Linked DNA regions of Saccharomyces cerevisiae S288C. The main gene of each other region encodes a partner of the protein of the gene in region 2 in a complex. Links are inferred from orthologs where the notes say so. Each region holds a gene or a part of one and is shown on either strand. Other genes may lie near its edges. A codon is read from its position in the direction of its gene.

Region 1 (2,558 bases), on a different chromosome or scaffold from region 2:
TCGCCCTAAGGACCATATCTGATGTACGAATGGAGGGATTGGACTCCGAAAGTATTATTTATGATCTAGCTTATACCTTCCTGTTGAAGAGTCTTCTTCCTACGATAAGAAGGTGCTTAGTCTTTATCAAAGTGCTACACGAATTAGTGAAAGATTCTGAAAATGAAACGCTGGTCATCAACGGTCATGAGGTTGAAGAAGAACTGGAATTCGAAGATACCGCCGAGTTTGTCAATAAGGCATTGAAAATGATTACTGAAAAAGAATCCTTAGTCGATCTTTTGACAACGCAGGAGTCCATTGTATCGCATCCATATTTGGAGAACATCCCATATGAATATTGTGGGATTATAAAACTGATAGATTTATCAAAATATTTGAATACTTACGTTACCCAATCTAAGGAAATCAAGCTACGTGAAGAGCGTTCTCAGCATATGAAGAATGCGGATAATCGATTAGATTTCAAAATATGTTTGACATGTGGTGTCAAAGTGCATTTAAGAGCGGACCGCCATGAAATGACCAAGCATTTGAATAAAAATTGTTTTAAACCATTTGGCGCCTTCCTGATGCCCAATTCAAGTGAAGTTTGTCTCCATTTGACACAGCCTCCTTCTAATATTTTTATATCTGCACCATATCTAAATTCGCATGGTGAAGTTGGTAGAAATGCCATGAGAAGAGGTGATTTAACCACCTTGAATTTGAAAAGATATGAGCACTTAAACAGATTATGGATTAACAATGAAATTCCAGGTTATATTAGTAGAGTAATGGGTGACGAATTTCGAGTGACTATACTTTCCAATGGTTTCTTGTTTGCATTTAATAGAGAACCAAGGCCAAGAAGAATACCTCCAACAGATGAAGATGATGAAGATATGGAAGAGGGAGAAGACGGGTTTTTTACGGAGGGAAATGACGAAATGGATGTTGATGATGAAACTGGACAGGCCGCCAACTTATTTGGGGTTGGCGCAGAAGGTATTGCTGGTGGCGGAGTACGTGATTTTTTCCAATTCTTCGAAAACTTTAGGAACACTCTACAACCGCAGGGAAATGGCGATGATGATGCACCTCAGAATCCCCCACCAATATTGCAGTTCTTAGGACCTCAATTTGATGGAGCTACTATCATAAGAAATACAAATCCAAGAAACCTCGATGAGGATGACTCTGATGATAATGATGACTCTGATGAGCGAGAGATTTGGTAGATTCAAGCCCTCTACTATGTTTTATAGTTGACATATTTGTATATAAAAACTTATACATTATTAAACATTTGCGCGTCGATTGACTTTTATTTATTATTAACAAAGAAGTAATACCAACCTAATTACAAATACTTCGAAGTGACTATCATAAGTTTCCTTATCTAGCGAAGGCAACTTTTGAACTCCCCAGTTGTTAATATGTATCATTATACACGACCCAATCAAACGCGGGGAAGTCAATGCCGAAAGAATTCTAGGACCTAAAAGCTGCTCAATCCTTGGGCCTTTCCCTAATGACATCCCCTCTCAAACTTTAGCTTAGCAGTTGTATTTAATGTCCTGTCACGGATAGTCAATAATCGTTGAAGGTTGATTTTCATATCCTTCGCAATTTCGTAAAGCAACAATAGCAATACGGACTAAAATGGTATGTTGGTGTGTGTGTGTGCTGCTTCACATTTCAGGCTAAAAATGTTATCCGTGGAATCTTCCTTAGCCAAGTATCATGGGCTTTGGAAATTAGTTTCCCACCGATGAGCGCAACGACTTAGCGAAGCTTATGAAATTGGTGACAGCAGCTCTATGAATATGTTCCATGCGTTTCCATTCAGGTTACTAACAATGCATAAATTATGAGTAGTCTTTTTCATCACTATATAAAACCTTTTTCAAACGAAACGCTGTTTTTGTTGGTACTATCTTTGCAGGTGCCTTTGTTTTCCAAACTGTATTTGATACTGCTATTACTTCATGGTACGAGAATCACAACAAAGGAAAATTATGGAAAGATGTCAAGGCTCGAATAGCTGCAGGCGATGGAGACGACGATGATGAGTAAACGCTGATTATGTCACACATATACGTGCAAACGCTCTCTCTCTCTCTCAAGCTATATAAGTGGCACTCGTCTTATTTATTATTTTTTTATTTTGGCTGGTTGTTCATGTTCAACCCAACCTCATAAAGGCACTCAACTTCATATTTTGACACAAATCTATGTCTCGCCAAAGCGCATTCAAATTTCAGAATGGAAATAGACACGAACGAGCCTGTCTGTCAGATGTTCACAAAATCCTTATTATAATTTTATATTCTACTAAAGGAAAAAGAGAATTAGGAAAAAGAATAACTCATTTTATGTATATACATATATTTTGTACATATCTATACCAAGCAAGTATAGTGCAATACTGTTCTTCGACGTTATTAAACGTAATAGCATTTTCTTGGTATCCTTTGAATCTTATATACAAGTACGAGTACATACTGCGCAGTAAATTGATCCTGATGGTGTGTTTAGATTTCGCCAGAAGCGGAGGCGTTCTGGATTCTGGAGAT
Region 2 (8,034 bases):
TATCTTATTAGGTAACCGAATTTTGAGGTATGGCATAGCCAACCCGCCCTTATCAACTGATAATTTAGAATCTTCGTATATTGTCAAGGTATTATCAATACCAATGGTGGCAACATAAGATCTATTGGAATATTTCAACGTTGCACAAGAAAGGTCTGATAATCGACCTAATAGATAGTTCTTATCACTCGCTAAACAATCGTTTTTAGGTTCTCTTAGCTTCTTAGGAATTATTTTAGTCGCCACTTGTGTAATGCTTCCCAACCGCTTAAAACCCAAGTAGGGACATTCAGGGTACTCTGATGGATATACTATGGACGTCCTAATTGGAAAGCGGGTTCTCAAAAAATCTCTCAAGATCTCAAATTGAACCAGATAATCACCACTCATATAAGCTGGAAGACCTATATGGTTAATCGATGAAAGTGCTGGGAAGGAATAGGCCTCTAAAATTTCCGCGCCCTCTTTTAGCATGTTTATTTTATATGCTGCTATGCCACTATCACCAGAAAATAAAACCAAGTTGCACTCATAGTATATGAACACCGAGAATATACAATCTTCGAGATAATTCGCGTACAATTGGGTAATGTTATTGTTTCTAATTTCAAACAGCCAGAATTTTGTACGTTTTTCACCAACTCCTAAGCATACAACAAACTTATTACCATAAAAGGGTCTCTGTGATAAGTAGATTGAGTTTTGTTCTGGCCACAGTGGCTTCACAACGGCATGTAAATACTTTTCATCCGAGAAACTGAATGTGGAAACTGCCTTCATTGAAGCATAATTGAATAGCATCAACTTATACTGCCTACTATTGCTATCGACCAAACACACCACGGCCTGATTGAGGTTATTTGGAACAGTATAGAGCTCTACGGGAATGCTAGGGAGGTAAAAGATATGATTTTCTAATTGAGGTTTTAATGAAGTCATCTGCTTAGTGAAACCTTCACGGTAAAACGTGCTACCAAACTCAAAGATGCTTATTCGAGAATCATAATCTAAAACACAAAGAGAGAACAGTGCTTTACCGGGTCGAATTCTCATTCGTCTTGGAACTAAGCCTAACTGTATGCAACCATAAGACATGTTTTGAAGATTTAACAAAATTATTTCCTTATCGTTGTAAAGGAAAACCAAAGGTAAGGAAGGAATCGTATCCAACAGTTCTAATTTCTGATCGTATAACGAATGAATCTCTAAATCCACTCTCAAAAAATTTGATTCTGATTTGTAGACTCTTACGCAGCCAGTGTATGATGATGCGATGACATAAATCGAGTCGTGTTTATGCTTTTTGCTTAGCCAAGATATTTTTATCAATTGATCATAGGCTATGAAAGAATAGTCTGGATGTGATGTAGCCACTTTCTTTTGATTGGCATTCCATACCGAAAACACACCGTCCAAGTAAATGACAAAAAGGTATTTCTCGGCACCATCTGAGAAACAGCTCACAATACTCTCTTTAGAATTGAGCCCATGGATAAAAAATTCTTCTTTTTTACGTAGAAAACCAGATTTTGCCTCAAGTATCGAAATCCTGAGCTTGGAGTTCTGTACGGGATAACAAAACATGGTGGAAGAGTTGTGGTTCGACTGCAAGAAATCGACCTGCCTAAATTCTCCGGTAGAACCATCCATACCGGCTTTCAAAACTTTTCCCGTCCTAGAAACAAATAGACCGTAATCATAAGGCTCATCCATTAAAAATATTCCGTTCTTATAAATCAACCCACCTGATTCATATGCAAATTCGTCACCACCATTAAGTGCTAAATCTGTAACCCAAAAATCAGTTACATTCTCTACTAGCGCTTTGGAGGAAGTCACTAACTTGAACAGGGTTTTGTCATATACCAAAATTTTCTTTTCTAAAAATCCTCTTCTTGAGTTAAAACTTCCACCCAAAAGCAGTGAATCAATATCTGTCCCCTTGTTTCCAATAACTTGTGATGCCAGGTAAACTTTGTTTGTATAAGCGGGACCGCTTTTCACCTTTTCTAATTTTGAACCTCGATGATCTTTCGATATAAAATTTACTCCATTTATTCTTGTCACCGCTATATACTTTTCACGTGGGAGCTGCAAAATAACATCGCATAGATCATGTTTAGGAGGCTTGAACACTCTTTCTTTTGTCCATTGTAGTTCTTTCAGGACGTGGTCTCTATGTAACGACCTAGTGTGTATCTTGGCAGTGTATTTGTTAGCATACACGTCAGAAATTGTCAAGAGAATGACTGATCTTTCATATATCACATCATAAGAATCTTTTAGAAATTGGTAGTTTTCTACATTTGGGAGACCTTTATTATTGAAAAAAGCCCCGTTTGTAAGCCCACTTGCTTTTATATTTATTATTTGAGTGTAGTTAGTAGTCAACACTACAATGGTATGGCCGCAAACTACCTTCATATAACAAAATTCATTATCACATATCGGCAAAAGATTGTATTGGCGGTACTCGTTTAAATCAAATTTCCTACTTCCATGCTTTCCAGCAAGATTGTATTCCTTTAAAAACAGGTTTTCACTATAGCAACTCTTAAGTAGGCAAAGAAAATAAACGTGTGATTTACCTGTGCATGTGGCGTCGTCAAGCAAATCCTCCCTGCTAATAAAATCAAAGGAGATAATTTCTTCGCCATCGGTGGCATAAAATCTTTCGACTATTCCTTCTCTGAAGTCAAAGGAGTAAATTGTCGTACATAACGTATGCAAATCACTATCATATGATATGTTTTTATTGCAAGTGTATAAAACACCCTCAAAGGAAGCATTTAACCAGCTGGAAGTTAATAAAGAAATAGTATCCAGTTTCGGAGCCACATTAGAGTCGTAGATAATTTCAAATTTGTTATTTTCGCATTTGAATCCCTTAATGGAACCGTCGTTAAACATTAGCAGGTGACAGAAGGAAGCTGACATGAACATCGGTACAGTTGCGTAGTTAACAACGAACGGTCCATCTAAAGCGAACTCAACCTTCGCTTTCAATTCGTTGGACGTTCCGGTATACAATCCATAGCTAAAACATAAAAAGTAACTTCCTTCGTGATGAAGACAACTTACCAGCTTCTCAGCCTCATCTTTTGATCTATAAGATGTTATGCATAAAGGTAAAAAGGCCGAATTGCTATCCAATTTTTTGCAGTCCGTTTCATCTTGTCTTGCCATTTTACGTGGCAATGGCTAGTGCAATATGCAATGCGCTAACGCTGACATTATAACACAATATATTTTTCTACCCTCCCTTTCGCTGAGTTGCGACCAGAATGTCTGTTTTTCAGTCATGTATTTCTTTCCGCTTTAGGCGTTCAGGCAAGCGCGTTCAGTTGAAAGCAAATAGAACCTATAACGACGAATACGCTTAAAGGAAGTATACAGGAAATAGAAAAAGAAGCGTACTGCATGTACTAAAAACCAAAAAAAACACCACATCGGCTCTCTGGTTGTATCCATACTTTCCCTAAAATTTTGTAACTCAAGAAAATACCTACATAAAACGATAATCAGTGGATTGCACTGATCAAGTCGAAAAACTCCGTACATGCCCGTCTATCCCTGTCTCATCCATATAAACTGAACTAGGTAGAAAAAAATACCTACCCTTTCTTTAACCGCCTGGTATATTAAATACCATTGTCAATTGAGAAGCTAACAGCCATTGTAAGAGTTATGTCCAGTGTCCGACTAAGACAAGGTAACCATACGTTGATAGCTATGAATACCCCAGAGGAAGATTATTCTTTCTCATAAATCCTTTTTATTGGTTTCAAAAATCCACCAATAAGTTCATATAGCTTGGGCGGCTATTCATGCGTAATATAATGTGCATGAAGTACGACCCATCGACTCTTAGAGCAAATGCTTCCTAAATTGAAATAACTAGCCGCCTTTAATTCGAGCCTTCTTGTCATCTTGTGTATTTCATCCTTTCAACTTCTCCTGTTCCACCTTTCACTCTAAGCTTCCCTATCATTTGGCCTCTTTCAGGTTCGTCCATAGCGCATCTTTTTCCTTTTAGACACTCCATAACGGACCAATCAGCGTTTTGCGCCATTTATCGGTCTTGGGTCACGTGCGGCGACGCGGAGGCTCCCTTATAAGGACTGGAAAAAGACCTGCAAGAACTATAGTTGGTTCTTGAATATCAAGTAATATATTACTTCTCTGTCGTAACTTTTTGTTGCTTTCAAGTTCAACGTCTTTTAAAAACCAAGAAATTATTGAACATAAATAATATCACTCTAACACTTATTAGGAAACCGAAAGGAGCAATAACAAACATGTTAGGAATAAGATCATCTGTCAAGACCTGCTTCAAGCCAATGTCTTTAACTTCCAAAAGACTGATTTCTCAATCTTTGCTGGCTAGCAAATCCACGTACAGGACCCCAAATTTTGATGACGTTTTAAAGGAAAATAACGATGCTGATAAAGGCCGTTCTTATGCTTACTTTATGGTCGGTGCTATGGGTCTTTTGTCATCTGCAGGTGCCAAATCAACCGTAGAAACCTTTATTTCATCTATGACCGCTACTGCCGATGTTTTGGCTATGGCTAAAGTTGAAGTTAATTTAGCGGCTATCCCATTGGGTAAAAACGTGGTTGTCAAATGGCAAGGTAAGCCTGTGTTCATTAGACACAGAACTCCTCATGAAATTCAGGAAGCCAACAGTGTGGATATGTCCGCTTTGAAGGACCCACAGACCGATGCTGACAGAGTCAAAGACCCTCAATGGTTAATTATGCTGGGTATTTGTACTCACTTAGGTTGTGTTCCAATTGGTGAAGCCGGTGATTTTGGTGGTTGGTTCTGTCCTTGCCATGGTTCACATTATGATATTTCCGGTAGAATCAGAAAGGGACCTGCCCCCTTAAACTTAGAAATTCCTGCTTATGAATTCGATGGTGATAAGGTCATTGTTGGTTAGGTTTGTTTTTCGTCCTCGAAAACTACATCTTTATTGTCTATTTGTTTCACCCTTATTTTGATTTTTCATTTACTATCCATTATGTTATGAACGGGAACTATACAACTAACCTAAGAATTTTGAAATCACAACAAAAATAATCAACATCACAGTCTCGAAGGGATTACGCTCAAAAAGGAACGAAAATCACTATACTGTATTCCCTGTTGATTTTCCTAAGAATATATTCTTATACAATATGGAGAAAACAAAAGGATAAGAAAAGAAAGGGGAAATAAAGAAGATTTGGACCTATTTATTACTACTTTTTTGTCTCACCATCTTCTTTTTCTATTCATAATATTTGATATTCCTTTATTTATCTGCATGTATTTATAATTAACGAAACTATTTATCTTCCCTCGTCCTGCCTTATCCTTCTTTTCTCCAAATGTTTTACCTAAGATTGGCCTGTATTTGAATATTGATGTCCAGAAGCAGAAGATTTCACATGTTGTATAAAGTATACAAGATTGTAAAAATGATTGAAGTATTTTTATATATGTATATTACCTATAAAATTTTTTATATTACGTACCGAAGGGGTTTTTTTAATGCTAAAGCGATTCATCTTGCTGTAGGTATATTTTTAAATCATCTGGAATATCTGTCCAGGAATTACTATCCCAGTCCATGAATTTCTTTTTTAATTGGGAGTATTTACTGTCAAATAATCTTGAATTGTATGTCGTTGCAAAATAACTTGCTTTTTGACCCATGTGGAGTTCCTGCCCTTCCTCATTATCAAAAAAGCCCCCATTGATTTCACTCCCGTTGCTATTATCTTGCTTATCATATTTATTTGAAACTTTATTACTTTTTAAATCAATACCTTCCAAATCTTGGAACAATTGCCTTACATATTCCGGCATATTGTCCGGTCTATACCTACGATCAAACTTAATTCTCCAATAGACTGACCAATGTAAACTGACATATTCGGGTACATAACGAGATCTTCCGAGGTTAGGTGTATGAAAATTTTGCCACTTTCCTTCTTTATTTTCCATTCGTATTCCAATGGGGAGCAGTTCCAATACCCACCACACCAATCTCATAAATTTATTTGCATGTCCACATTTAAGAGTAAAAGCATCCTTCACTTTTTCTTTTTCATCTTTCAAGCTCAATCTAGTCTCTTTTATATTTTTTAGACAATCTTCCATTCTCTCATTTCTGCCAGATTTATCCTCTCGGGCTCCATCCTCATTATCACTCACTCCTAGTAGGGAACATTTCTTTGGTGAGTTGAAACTAAGGTAATCATGTGTGTCTGCGAATAAAGATCCAATCGAAGTGTGTTTGGTAGCGAAATCATGTATTGCACCAGGTTTGAATTTAACACCAAATTTGATTGCCTCTGCTAAAATCCATCGCAGCGTTAAATTTGACAAGTTCTCTTCTGTCTCACAGTCAGGCGCCCAACCTCCACCAACGTCAGAATGATCACCTGGAAACCATTTTTCAATCAAGTCGGGTGTCATAGTCATTCTACTTGATGTACCGCTGCCTTGGATAGATTGAAGTTGGAAAATGGCTTCAATTCCTCTTGTTGAACATTCTGTATCTCTCGCGTATGAATTACCTTCTAAGAATGAGTTCAGGTCCAACAGCAACTCTGTAGTTTCCTCGCTTTTGCTCGATAACAACCTTCCAGGGTTATCAGGAATGAGTGGAGAAGGATTACTAATAGAATGTGCGCCACTTTTTAAAGTGTATTTTATCAAAGGATTTTCCGGGGTTAGATCACGCATTAATGCATTAGAAGTTGGCACCGGCGAACACTGGTCAGTTATATGATTACAATATGTCAATGAAAATAGTTTCGGAATGTACGGCATCGGAGTGAAACATAACTGCTTGAATTTTCCACGTCTTTCATCCAAGGATACGCAATGTCGAACATGCTCAACGATATTGCTTCTCTGGGTGCAAGGAAACAACCTGTCCCTTAATATTCCAACTGAGTTCACAGAATCGAATAAGCCTTGAAAATGTATCTTTACCTCGTAATCCCTAGAGAATGTTTTCTTGAATTCTTCAGCCAAGGTACTTGTGTACTGTAATTCATTAGGCTGCGAATCGTATTCCCATTTTTCATAGATTTGCCATGCCATTTTAACCATTTCTTCCAAACCTTTACTCAAAAGTCCGACTCTTTCAATCATTCCAGCAAGAACTCTTGCAATAAAAGCTCCTCTAGAAAAGCCAAACATATAAATTCTATCTCCTGGTTCAAAATACTTCATCAAAAAAAGATATGCAGAACATATGTGATTGTCTAAACTGAATGCGAACATAGAATCTAATAAATTTTGTAAGTGAGAAATAGTTAACCGTCTTCTGACATCAACAACAGCGTCAAATCCAACTGAACCAATTCCAGGTTGGTAATAACAAATTTGTTCAGAACTATCACCGTTCTCAAGAAGGTTGTACAATTTTAAAATATTAGTGAATGGCTGAGGTCCAAAATTTTCTCTTGTTCCATCAAAACAAAGAATGATATTCTTGCCAGACGATGAATGTGAGGATGGATTTATACTTCTGTCGCCTCCCGTCCCATTTTTTTTATATTTTCCATGAATATAATTGAAGCTATCCATCTAATGGATATTATGTTAGTGTATTATTTTTTATAAGTTACATCACCTGTTTGCTGTTATTTTACTACATCTGTCTGAAGTACATTAATTTGTGGCGGTTTAACAGTATATTGAATGTGACAAACACACCCAGACACCTCAATAGACAACAGGAGGGCCATTACCATAATTTCATAACATTAAATATTCCAAGTAACATTTTTCAGAAGACGAAGAAAGACTAATTAACAGGATAATAAATATTAACATTATCTTTTAAGTACCATACTTGAAGCGTCAATTGATGTATGTTTGGTTTTCCACTATTTTCCTAAAAGCATGAATCTTTTCTAGGCAAAAAATTGGAATGACGACTCCTGATCGTTAAAATGGAAGACAAACACTAGAAGTTGACTTCAAAAAAACTTCTTTCATTAAATAAGGGAAATATCCGGCCGGCTCAT
Region 3 (2,303 bases), on a different chromosome or scaffold from region 2:
AGATTGTTCTTCTATCAGTTTTCATTTTAACTTTAAAAACTCAACCAACAGGTATTGGACTGACATAGGCACAATAAACTCAAAAATATTACGTAGAAATGGCTTCAGAAAAAGAAATTAGGAGAGAGAGATTCTTGAACGTTTTCCCTAAATTAGTAGAGGAATTGAACGCATCGCTTTTGGCTTACGGTATGCCTAAGGAAGCATGTGACTGGTATGCCCACTCATTGAACTACAACACTCCAGGCGGTAAGCTAAATAGAGGTTTGTCCGTTGTGGACACGTATGCTATTCTCTCCAACAAGACCGTTGAACAATTGGGGCAAGAAGAATACGAAAAGGTTGCCATTCTAGGTTGGTGCATTGAGTTGTTGCAGGCTTACTTCTTGGTCGCCGATGATATGATGGACAAGTCCATTACCAGAAGAGGCCAACCATGTTGGTACAAGGTTCCTGAAGTTGGGGAAATTGCCATCAATGACGCATTCATGTTAGAGGCTGCTATCTACAAGCTTTTGAAATCTCACTTCAGAAACGAAAAATACTACATAGATATCACCGAATTGTTCCATGAGGTCACCTTCCAAACCGAATTGGGCCAATTGATGGACTTAATCACTGCACCTGAAGACAAAGTCGACTTGAGTAAGTTCTCCCTAAAGAAGCACTCCTTCATAGTTACTTTCAAGACTGCTTACTATTCTTTCTACTTGCCTGTCGCATTGGCCATGTACGTTGCCGGTATCACGGATGAAAAGGATTTGAAACAAGCCAGAGATGTCTTGATTCCATTGGGTGAATACTTCCAAATTCAAGATGACTACTTAGACTGCTTCGGTACCCCAGAACAGATCGGTAAGATCGGTACAGATATCCAAGATAACAAATGTTCTTGGGTAATCAACAAGGCATTGGAACTTGCTTCCGCAGAACAAAGAAAGACTTTAGACGAAAATTACGGTAAGAAGGACTCAGTCGCAGAAGCCAAATGCAAAAAGATTTTCAATGACTTGAAAATTGAACAGCTATACCACGAATATGAAGAGTCTATTGCCAAGGATTTGAAGGCCAAAATTTCTCAGGTCGATGAGTCTCGTGGCTTCAAAGCTGATGTCTTAACTGCGTTCTTGAACAAAGTTTACAAGAGAAGCAAATAGAACTAACGCTAATCGATAAAACATTAGATTTCAAACTAGATAAGGACCATGTATAAGAACTATATACTTCCAATATAATATAGTATAAGCTTTAAGATAGTATCTCTCGATCTACCGTTCCACGTGACTAGTCCAAGGATTTTTTTTAAGCCAATGAAAATGAAGAAATGCGTGATCGGAAATTACGGGTAGTACGAGAAGGAAACTTGAGCCACCCCCCAAATTTTATTCATATAATAATAGGAAAAGCAACGACCTCATCTCTCGAACATTGTTTACTTGAGCAAGTCCGATTAAGAGTAAGTTGTCGTACGTTAAATACAAATAATCAACAAAACACTACACAAAAACTTCTACGATAATGGGTCCTCCAAGCGGTAAAACTTACATGGGATGGTGGGGTCACATGGGTGGTCCAAAGCAAAAAGGTATAACCTCATATGCTGTGTCTCCATATGCTCAAAAGCCATTACAAGGTATTTTCCATAACGCTGTATTCAATAGTTTTAGAAGATTTAAGTCTCAATTTCTATATGTATTAATACCTGCGGGAATTTATTGGTACTGGTGGAAGAACGGTAACGAGTATAATGAATTTCTGTACAGCAAAGCTGGTAGAGAAGAGCTGGAAAGAGTTAATGTTTAATATTGTTTCCATGCCTCTACATTACATCGATCTTTTGATCTTCTAAAAACTTACATATATATTCTGTTTATAAAACAAGAGCAAATAACCCCCATATATTTATTCAGTCAGTCTATTTATTTACTTACAGTATCAGTAATAATAAATACTTAAGCATTTTTTGTTTTGTATATCTTTATTTACTAACCTTGGTATGTAAGTGTCTATAAACTACACAGCATTTTGTTTTCCTCATCCAGGAGCTTTGTAGTAATTGTTCAATGGTGATTCTCTTCGTGGGGTCGACCTGGAACGTTCTATATAGTGCAATTTTCCTCAACCTATTCAGTTCGCTACTAACATGTCTTAATTCCTCAAATAGATAAAACTGTCCATCATCTTTAATTTCACTGAGAAATGATTTAAAAAGAGAATCCTTTTCAGGAATGGCGATTTTCCAAAGATACTGTCCCATGACCATTGTACAGTAAACAATACCACAACTCCAACAATCTACCAGA

Evidence for each region.
Region 1: the proteins of RIP1 (region 2) and QCR9 are in contact, whole or in part, in a crystal structure (PDB 4PD4), measured with the Saccharomyces cerevisiae proteins. Residues at the interface, in NP_010890.3 of Saccharomyces cerevisiae: Asp48 (codon at 4,440), Asp50 (codon at 4,446), Lys51 (codon at 4,449), Arg53 (codon at 4,455), Ser54 (codon at 4,458), Tyr55 (codon at 4,461), Tyr57 (codon at 4,467), Phe58 (codon at 4,470), Gly61 (codon at 4,479), Gly64 (codon at 4,488), Leu65 (codon at 4,491), Leu66 (codon at 4,494), Ser68 (codon at 4,500), Ala69 (codon at 4,503), Lys72 (codon at 4,512), Ser73 (codon at 4,515), Glu76 (codon at 4,524); in NP_011699.1 of Saccharomyces cerevisiae: Ser2 (codon at 1,861), Phe3 (codon at 1,864), Ser4 (codon at 1,867), Tyr7 (codon at 1,876), Lys8 (codon at 1,879), Arg13 (codon at 1,894), Asn14 (codon at 1,897), Ala15 (codon at 1,900), Val16 (codon at 1,903), Ile21 (codon at 1,918), Phe22 (codon at 1,921), Gly24 (codon at 1,927), Ala25 (codon at 1,930), Phe26 (codon at 1,933), Phe28 (codon at 1,939), Gln29 (codon at 1,942).
Region 3: the proteins of RIP1 (region 2) and QCR8 are in contact, whole or in part, in a cryo-EM structure (PDB 8ABI), measured with the Yarrowia lipolytica proteins. The link is inferred for Saccharomyces cerevisiae S288C from one-to-one orthologs. Residues at the interface, in XP_499709.1 of Yarrowia lipolytica: Thr42, Ile45, Pro46, Phe48, Thr49, Pro50, Tyr51, Leu52, Lys53, Arg56, Asn61, Arg62, Ser65, Tyr66; in XP_504875.1 of Yarrowia lipolytica: Ala23, Tyr25, Thr26, Ile27, Phe30, Ala31, Ala32, Arg33, Ala36.

The regions. Positions count from the first base shown.
Region 1 is NC_001139.9:858,563-861,120, reverse strand, and holds QCR9 (ubiquinol--cytochrome-c reductase subunit 9), read left to right. Parts: upstream 1-1,644; coding exon 1,645-1,647; intron 1,648-1,860; coding exon 1,861-2,058; downstream 2,059-2,558. Other genes in the region: E3 ubiquitin-protein ligase UBR1, read left to right, coding at 1-1,220; protein translocase subunit TIM13, read right to left, coding at 2,517-2,558. UniProt on the Saccharomyces cerevisiae protein: Component of the ubiquinol-cytochrome c oxidoreductase, a multisubunit transmembrane complex that is part of the mitochondrial electron transport chain which drives oxidative phosphorylation.
Region 2 is NC_001137.3:102,962-110,995, forward strand, and holds RIP1 (ubiquinol--cytochrome-c reductase catalytic subunit RIP1), read left to right. Parts: upstream 1-4,298; coding exon 4,299-4,946; downstream 4,947-8,034. Other genes in the region: YEL025C (uncharacterized protein), read right to left, coding at 1-3,186; YEL023C (uncharacterized protein), read right to left, coding at 5,543-7,591. UniProt on the Saccharomyces cerevisiae protein: Component of the ubiquinol-cytochrome c oxidoreductase, a multisubunit transmembrane complex that is part of the mitochondrial electron transport chain which drives oxidative phosphorylation.
Region 3 is NC_001142.9:104,916-107,218, forward strand, and holds QCR8 (ubiquinol--cytochrome-c reductase subunit 8), read left to right. Parts: upstream 1-1,518; coding exon 1,519-1,803; downstream 1,804-2,303. Other genes in the region: ERG20 (bifunctional (2E,6E)-farnesyl diphosphate synthase/dimethylallyltranstransferase), read left to right, coding at 99-1,157; protein kinase HAL5, read right to left, coding at 1,979-2,303. UniProt on the Saccharomyces cerevisiae protein: Component of the ubiquinol-cytochrome c oxidoreductase, a multisubunit transmembrane complex that is part of the mitochondrial electron transport chain which drives oxidative phosphorylation.